Oreochromis niloticus: one gene and its partner. The protein of the gene in region 1 interacts with the protein of each later gene in a biochemical or structural test. Links are inferred from orthologs where the notes say so. Each region holds a gene or a part of one and is shown in the gene's direction. Other genes may lie near its edges.

Region 1 (3,755 bases):
TTGGAATGGTGACGCATGATGATACAATGCCACGGCTCCCCTTTCATTTGCATACTCTACAAAGCACACAAACGTGTTCCCTATCAACTACATTTCCAGAAAAACCACAATCCTCACATTTTTTTATGCAAGTGATAGAAGGAGAACTTTAGAAGGGCGACCTAGAATTATTGCTGATGTGGCATTAGTGTTGAATTTCACAGCAATGCAAATTTGGTCTGAATGGTAAGGTTGCAATGCCTTTGATATAAGCCAGATCACTTTTTGATCGTCCCTTGTGACGAACTAAAGAATAGCATCACAGCTCTATGCACATCTGAACTTTTTACTGATTACAAGACTACATACGAAGCCCACGAAGTATTCAGAAAGACTCAAGCCAAAAGAGTTAAATCAGTTGAATGAATAATAGCAGCAAACACGCAGAAATGCCTCACACAGTGAGATAAGTAATAGTATATACAACAACTGCAGTAAGCAGTAAGAGCAAGGTCGCTACACTACAAGCTGTGTCCTGTTTCTGTGGACAGCAGCATGATTATAATCAAAGGGGGCCTCCTTAATTTAAGTAAAACAAGCGACTCATCCACATCAACGCTGTTTTACTCCAAATAAGCACATGCTCGCTAAAAAAGACTACAACAACGAAATCAGCACAATCGGATCTACCGTTCGTCCGTCCCGATGCTCCAGATCCAACAAAATCTGTCTGTCCGCCGGCTTCTTTGGACTCCAGGCCCCAGCAGGCTGCTCTCTTCTCCGCTACAGTGGAGCTCAGTGTGAAGATTCAGCCTTACAGCCGAGCATCTTGGAAATTCTTGATATCTTGTGTCAACGTAATATCACTACGTTCATATCCGGGTACACTGAGTACTTTTATTCACACATGGGCCAGTGTGGACGAAGAAGAAGAGCTCCGACTCCACGTCACCTTAGAAAATAAAAATAACGACGACTCGGCTGAGTTTTCCGGAGTGGGCGGAGAAACAAGAATACACCTGAAATCTTACCGGTTAATCCCAGCCGGTGACAAATTTAACTCACAAGCAATGTAAAATAAACGTGGAGTATTTACGGTCTTTAACGCCTCTGGAAATTATGAACTAAAAGGTGGGAGTTCGCGGCTTTCGACGGTGTTATTTTTTCCCCCTTTTTCCTATAAACCGGATTTCCTTCAACAGTAAATAACCAATCAGTGCCTTTGCGGGTCTTCCGTGTCGGAACTCAGGGCTGATTAATCAACCTTGCACTATCGATGCACGGTTTTTCGGAGTACCTGGAAGTGAGGCGCTCGGTAGATCGATAGAAAATGCCTGCTATTTGATTTCCCGCGAAACAGTCAGTTCCTCGCGCGCTAGGACGTGGAGCGGCTGCACGAGCTGAGGTGTTTTACTAAATTGGTGAGTCCGTTGTAAATGTTAACAATATATAACCTGCAAGCTAACTTTGATAGTAGATTGCTGCATCCTGTGGCATTTTCATTAAAGTCAGCTGGTACACACTAGTAGATCAAAGCCAGGATACATTTCTGCTCGGCAGTTTGCTTACATGAACTCGTCGATTTAAAGATCATTGTAAATTCACAAACCTGGCACACACATTGCTGAGAGATAACAAATGAGGCGGAGCTCGTCTTTTAATTGACATCAAGCCTCCGTTAAAAAAAAAAAAGAGCTTCATATTTGTAAACAACTTGTACTGTGACCTCTTTGTTTTCTCAAGCTTCTGCAGACCCGACCTGTACCAGTGATAGGGGCCTTTGTGAAATGCAGTGGGGATGGAAATGACACAGCATGTTAACCACAGAGCTTCACTCTCTCTCTCTTTTTTTCTCAGATTTTCTGACACAATGGGAATACACGGACTTGCCAAGCTAATTGCTGACCAGGCCCCTGGTGCCATTAAAGAGCAAGACATAAAGAACTACTTTGGTAACTGTTCCAGATTACACTCCTTATACATCAGTGATGCATGAGTTTCAGTCTACCCTCAATTTGTTGCAACATACAGTATGTAGTATGCATGATGGAATGCTAACTCTTTATGTCATTGTTGAATGAGCACCTCTTTTCACCTTCTGTAGGCAGGAAAATTGCTATTGATGCCTCTATGTGCATCTACCAGTTTCTGATCGCTGTGCGACAAGATGGTAACGTTCTGCAGAATGAAGATGGAGAGACAACAAGGTACTGCTGCAACAATAAACATTTAAAATTGAATAAGAAGACCTAATTGTAGATCCTTCATAGATGCAGTAGTTCCTCTGTTTAACCTCAGTGATTTGTAACTTAGGTCTGAACACACAGGAATGATTTTTGCCTTTACTCCTTTCTTCAAGCCACTTAATGGGAATGTTCTACCGCACCATTCGCATGTTGGAACATGGAATCAAACCTGTGTATGTGTTTGACGGCAAGCCCCCACAGCTCAAGTCAGCAGAGGTGAGTAAGGATTTCCTCTGGCCCTCACCCATCTGCAAATGGAAACATTTGTACTGACAGCTCTCTCTTATTCTGCTTGTGTCTTCATCTTCCAGCTTGAGAAAAGAGGGGAGAGGAGAGCCGAAGCTGAGAAGATGCTTGCCCAGGCCCAAGAAATTGGTAAAGACTTTTCTGGGGGGGGGGGGGGGGTTGTTGGAAGTTGCTAGTTTTTAAACCACACTTGGACTCAGACTATATCACAAGTATTATAGGAAAGTCTGTGAACATGTTTTACTTTGGGCATGAAAGTCTAATTGGATGTTTTTCTCTCTCAAACCAGGGGAGCAAGAGAACATTGACAAGTTCACTAAGCGTCTGGTTAAAGTCACGAAGCAGCATAATGATGAGTGTAAGAAGCTCCTGACCCTGATGGGAGTGCCTTACATTGAGGTGAGATTTCTATTTCTACACATTCTTGTGGCATCAAGAATATTTGCACAGTTATTACACAGTTTGGAGACATCCCTCCCATGAATGATTTGTGTTTTAGTGTTCCTACAATGTTACAGGCTTCTTATCCTCTTACCCTTACCAAGTTACAGTTATACAGTCCAGCTGGGGTCATTCACACAGAAAGACAGAAATGTAATTAAATTATGCCTAAAGCTTAAAAATATACATGAATTGGGATTCTGCAGTGCAGTTTGAGGTAGTTGCATTAAGACAGATTGTGTGTACCATTCTGTTAGATGTAATTTAATTTATTTTTTTCATTTCCTTAAAGGCTCCATGTGAAGCTGAGGCCAGCTGTGCTGCTCTGGTTAAAGCAGGGAAGGTGTTTGCCACGGCAACAGAGGATATGGACGGGCTGACCTTTGGGACAAACATCCTTCTCAGACATCTCACGGCCAGTGAAGCAAAGTATGAACCGGCATCACCTTTGACAGAGATATTAGCAGAGTGGAAATGACCTAAAGTTGTTGCCTTAATTCTACATCAGATTTATGTTTGCCATATAAATATATGTGTATATGAGATGGTTCAAATGAATAAGTTCACACTTCCAATTCATAAATTTGAACCAAGTTATGAGGTTTTAGGATTTGGTAGTTTGATAGTCGCCATGCAACATAAATAGTCAACTACAAGCTGTTTATTATTGTTTCAGGAAACTTCCTATTCAAGAGTTCCACTTCAGTCGCATCCTGCAGGACATCGGCCTGACCAATGAACAGGTAAAGTGTTCTTTTCCTGTCTTGAACAAATTTTAGATAAATAAGTTTCTCTTTAAATCTGAAGCACTTCCCGTACTTCTCTCATGATGACACAGCTATC
Region 2 (3,755 bases), about 24 Mb from region 1:
TCTGTCTGTTCCACCTGCTCGCCTGACTACCATGGGACTCAGAGCCTTTAGTTGTTCTGCCCCGAGACTTTGGATGCACTTCCACTTGCTCTACGGACCACACACTTTTAAATCCCATCTCAAAACCCATCTATTCAGAATTGCATACACCTGATTCTGTCTTAGTCCATTTTTACCTTGCTCAGCTTTTATACTTTCATGCCAGTTTGTTGTTGTTGTTGTTTTTTTACCTTATGTCTAAATTTTATTTTGCCACATTTATTATATTGTATTGTTGCTATTCTTCTTGTGCTATTGTAAGGTGACCTTGAGGGCCTTAAAGGCGCTTATAAATAAAATGTATTATTATTATTATTATTGTTTTTGCAGCTGACTGTGATCGACTGAGGTGTTTTTCAGCTGATAAAGAGACACAAATATTTTACCTCCTTATTTTTAGAAACACGTTCAAAGAAAATCACAAATGATGTGTGTCAGCGATAAAATGAACTCAATTCAGAAAACTCAGAGACGATAAATGAGCACATGAAAAAGAACAAACATGATCACAGTGTGATGCTTCAGCAATGGGAATAAACTTGTTTCCGTCTGATGGTAAAATGTAGGTTTGTGTTAAATCTTCAAAGACACATGAGATTTACACGCCTGATGTCACTTAAATTTATATGAGAAAATGTGTCCAAATCAATAATTTATATGAATAAAAATATAAATAAATACACTCAGCGGCACTTTAGGATGCTTATTTATTTGTTAAGTATTTTGAAGAAAAATATCTTTAATTTAATGCATGTAGACAAGCTTTAGTCTAATATTCTAAAAAAAAATTAAATTAAATTAAAAAAAACATTGAAAAGTTGCCACAAAATAAGGTTTTTAAAAGTTGTTGCCTTTTTTCTCTCTGGAAGTTGAAGTTCTTTTTTTTTACAGGATTGTCTGAGTATAATTTTTCTGATAAGATCCTAATATTACCTCACAGAGTAAAAATGAGCCACAGCATGCACAGGCTGCTGTTTCTGAGGGTTTTTCGTGTTTTTATTGGTCTAGAACAGGGTGTAAAACTGTTATATAGTGACCAATATTTAACGAGACATCATATCTTTAAGTGTGAAGAACATTCTGTGTTCACCAAAAAGCTGACTCTAGGTGAAAGCTGCCAAACGGATCTTTGAAGTTATTTTCTATCCCAGTTACAAAAAGATAATGAACAGACTGAAAAGTGTGATTTCAACAGTATGTAAGTAAAAATATAGACCGCACTGGTCCGCTACAGTTTTCTGCCCCTGTACAGACCATTTAAAGGGCCCTGTTCTGGTCCCCGTGCCACATATTTAATTCTGCTGGTTGTTTTCTCCTTTCGTTGGGCGGAAAGATTAACAGTTTCCATGTGGCTGTTGTTTCCGTCGGACCGTAGACACAGACGGACCAAACAAATGAAAAAGTTCCCCGCCTGAAGTCAAAGCGGAAGATTAAATTCTGCTGCCCGGGGGAAAAATGAAGTTTCGGGGGAAAATCATCGACATCGCCTGTTTGAACCACTTCACCCGTGAGTCTCAAACATCTGTTTGTACCGAGGGCCGAAGCTAAGCTGTTAGCTTCCCTCCAAATGCTGCACAGAAACTGTGAAAATAAAAGTACACCTAATTTAAAGTTCCTGAAGCGGGACTTTGTTCTTTCTTTAACTTTTCTGACATGTTAGGAAATGTCTGTAGTTCGGTTTACAGCATGTGCTCAAAGAGCCGCAGACTTTGACAGTTTAACTGGTGGTTTGTCCTGATTAGTGTTATCTAAATTCAACGAAATCTACGTGGAGTCTTGTGCAGGGCTATGAGTGCACATTTGGACCGATTCATGAACAACCACAAAAATATCAGCTGTATGTTTATGCTGAATGAGTAATCTGTTATTTAATGGCTCTGTGGAGCTGCTCTAGTTTTCCACTTTTCATTTTTAGCTCATTTTTGTTTTTGAAAGTAAGTTTTAATGTTAAAATGTCTAGTTGTACTTAGTTTTCAATAGTTGTAGTATTAATTGTTGTTTTTAGTGTGTTTATCAGGGTCATGTTATTCAGAAGTGCAGATCAGATACCTAATTAAACTAAACTATTAACTACTATTATTAAAACTAACCGAGTCTGCGTGTGACTGATTAAATATTGCTCCTGGTTCACACCTCTGATCTTTCTCAGGAGTCGTCACCACCATCTCAAAGCTGACAAAGATGTGCGTCCTGCGGCTGACCCCGGACAACCTGTTCTTCGTTCTGTCCGGTAAAGTGGCCAACGGCGGCGTCAGCATGTGGTGTGAGCTGTCACAGGTGAGAGCCGACGCTCCGGCTTCCAGCTGCTAAGAAAATAAACTCAGGAATGAGTCTGAGATGATCAGGACCTATTAAATTATTTCAGTACCCTGATCCCGTCCTTCCTCCCCGCAGGCCAACTTCTTTGAGGAGTACCAGATGGAGGGCGTGTCCTCCGAGGACAACGAGATCTGTCTGGAGGTGACTCCGGAGAATCTGTCCAGAGCCCTGAAGACGGTCCAGAACGCCAAAGCGGTCAAAGTCAAACTGACCAAGAAGCACTGCCCCTGCCTCACCATCGCCGCCGAGCTGGTGAGAGCATCCGAGAAAAAACTCAGTTTACCTGAGAAGTCTGTCTCTGCTACAGCTCGAATTATATAGGTTTAATTTCACATTACTATTCATAATATCGGACGATACGCTGCATCTGGGGATAAGTTTATCTACGGCCAGGTCTCCGAACCAGAATCCAGCCACAGGTTTATCAAACAGTTACATTTATAATGTGGAGTGGTTCACTCCAGTGTGAACCAAGGCCAGAAAACAATAAACGCAGCTGAGGTGTCGACCAAACCCTGAGAGGAAACTAAACAAGAGTCAAATCTAGAAGCCAAAAGCAGAGCCATAGACAGCTCATATTGGCTCGTCTTGTTTTTCTGGCTGCTTTTAAAACTGGTTTAACTCATTTGAACCTTTAATCTGAGAAACCTGAGCCCTCTTCCTCTGTGCCGCCCAGCCCACCCTGTCCAGCGTCAGTCGAGTCGTCACTCACGACGTCCCCGTTGACGTCATCCCCCGGAGACTGTGGCACGAGTTCAAAGAGCCGAGCATGCCGGACTTTGATGTAAGCGAAGCTTCCGAACACCAAATCATCCTTTTTATGAGCGCTGACTTTGTTTTGTCCATCACGGGTTGTGTGTTTGTGTCACTGCAGGTCAGCATCTACCTCCCTCCCCTGAAGACCATGAAGAACATCGTGGACAGGATGAAGAACCTCTCCAACTTCCTGGTAGGAGGTTAAACATGTTCAGATCAAACACGGACTCATACAGAGAAGATCTGCAGCTTTATTTCTCTGGATTTGGGTCATTTCAGTAACAGCTGTTGCCGCGGTTACGTGTAACAAACTGCCCGGCATTTTTTTAACATGACACTAAATTCCTTTCGTTTGAAATATGTGAAGAAACACATTTTCCTGTATTTCAGCCCTCCGCCCGGCCCGATGTAGGAGGACAAATATTGGATTGAATGTGAACACGATGTTTATGTCAGCTTTTCCTGAGAAGTCAGATTTAGACATTTTTGTCAACAATGCAGAAAAAATAATGTCATGTTTAAACTCGGGCCTCATGTTACCTGCGACAGGTGACACACAGAACCTGAAGCCTTATGTCGCTTTAGATGTTTAGATGAAATATGCTGAAATATTTGGAGCGTTTTCATCTTTTTACCTGCGG

Evidence for each region.
Region 2: the proteins of fen1 (region 1) and hus1 form a complex in vitro, tested with the Homo sapiens proteins (2 studies listed by BioGRID). The link is inferred for Oreochromis niloticus from reciprocal best matches to the Homo sapiens genes FEN1 and HUS1.

The regions. Positions count from the first base shown.
Region 1 is NC_031974.2:24,375,533-24,379,287, forward strand, and holds the start of fen1 (flap endonuclease 1), read left to right. Parts: upstream 1-1,263; 5' UTR 1,264-1,400; intron 1,401-1,836; 5' UTR 1,837-1,849; coding exon 1,850-1,931; intron 1,932-2,083; coding exon 2,084-2,186; intron 2,187-2,338; coding exon 2,339-2,441; intron 2,442-2,536; coding exon 2,537-2,600; intron 2,601-2,760; coding exon 2,761-2,870; intron 2,871-3,204; coding exon 3,205-3,341; intron 3,342-3,588; coding exon 3,589-3,655; intron 3,656-3,755. UniProt on the Homo sapiens protein: Structure-specific nuclease with 5'-flap endonuclease and 5'-3' exonuclease activities involved in DNA replication and repair.
Region 2 is NC_031974.2:193,520-197,274, forward strand, and holds the start of hus1 (checkpoint protein HUS1), read left to right. Parts: upstream 1-1,359; 5' UTR 1,360-1,494; coding exon 1,495-1,546; intron 1,547-2,188; coding exon 2,189-2,316; intron 2,317-2,433; coding exon 2,434-2,610; intron 2,611-3,034; coding exon 3,035-3,142; intron 3,143-3,232; coding exon 3,233-3,307; intron 3,308-3,755. UniProt on the Homo sapiens protein: Component of the 9-1-1 cell-cycle checkpoint response complex that plays a major role in DNA repair. The 9-1-1 complex is recruited to DNA lesion upon damage by the RAD17-replication factor C (RFC) clamp loader complex.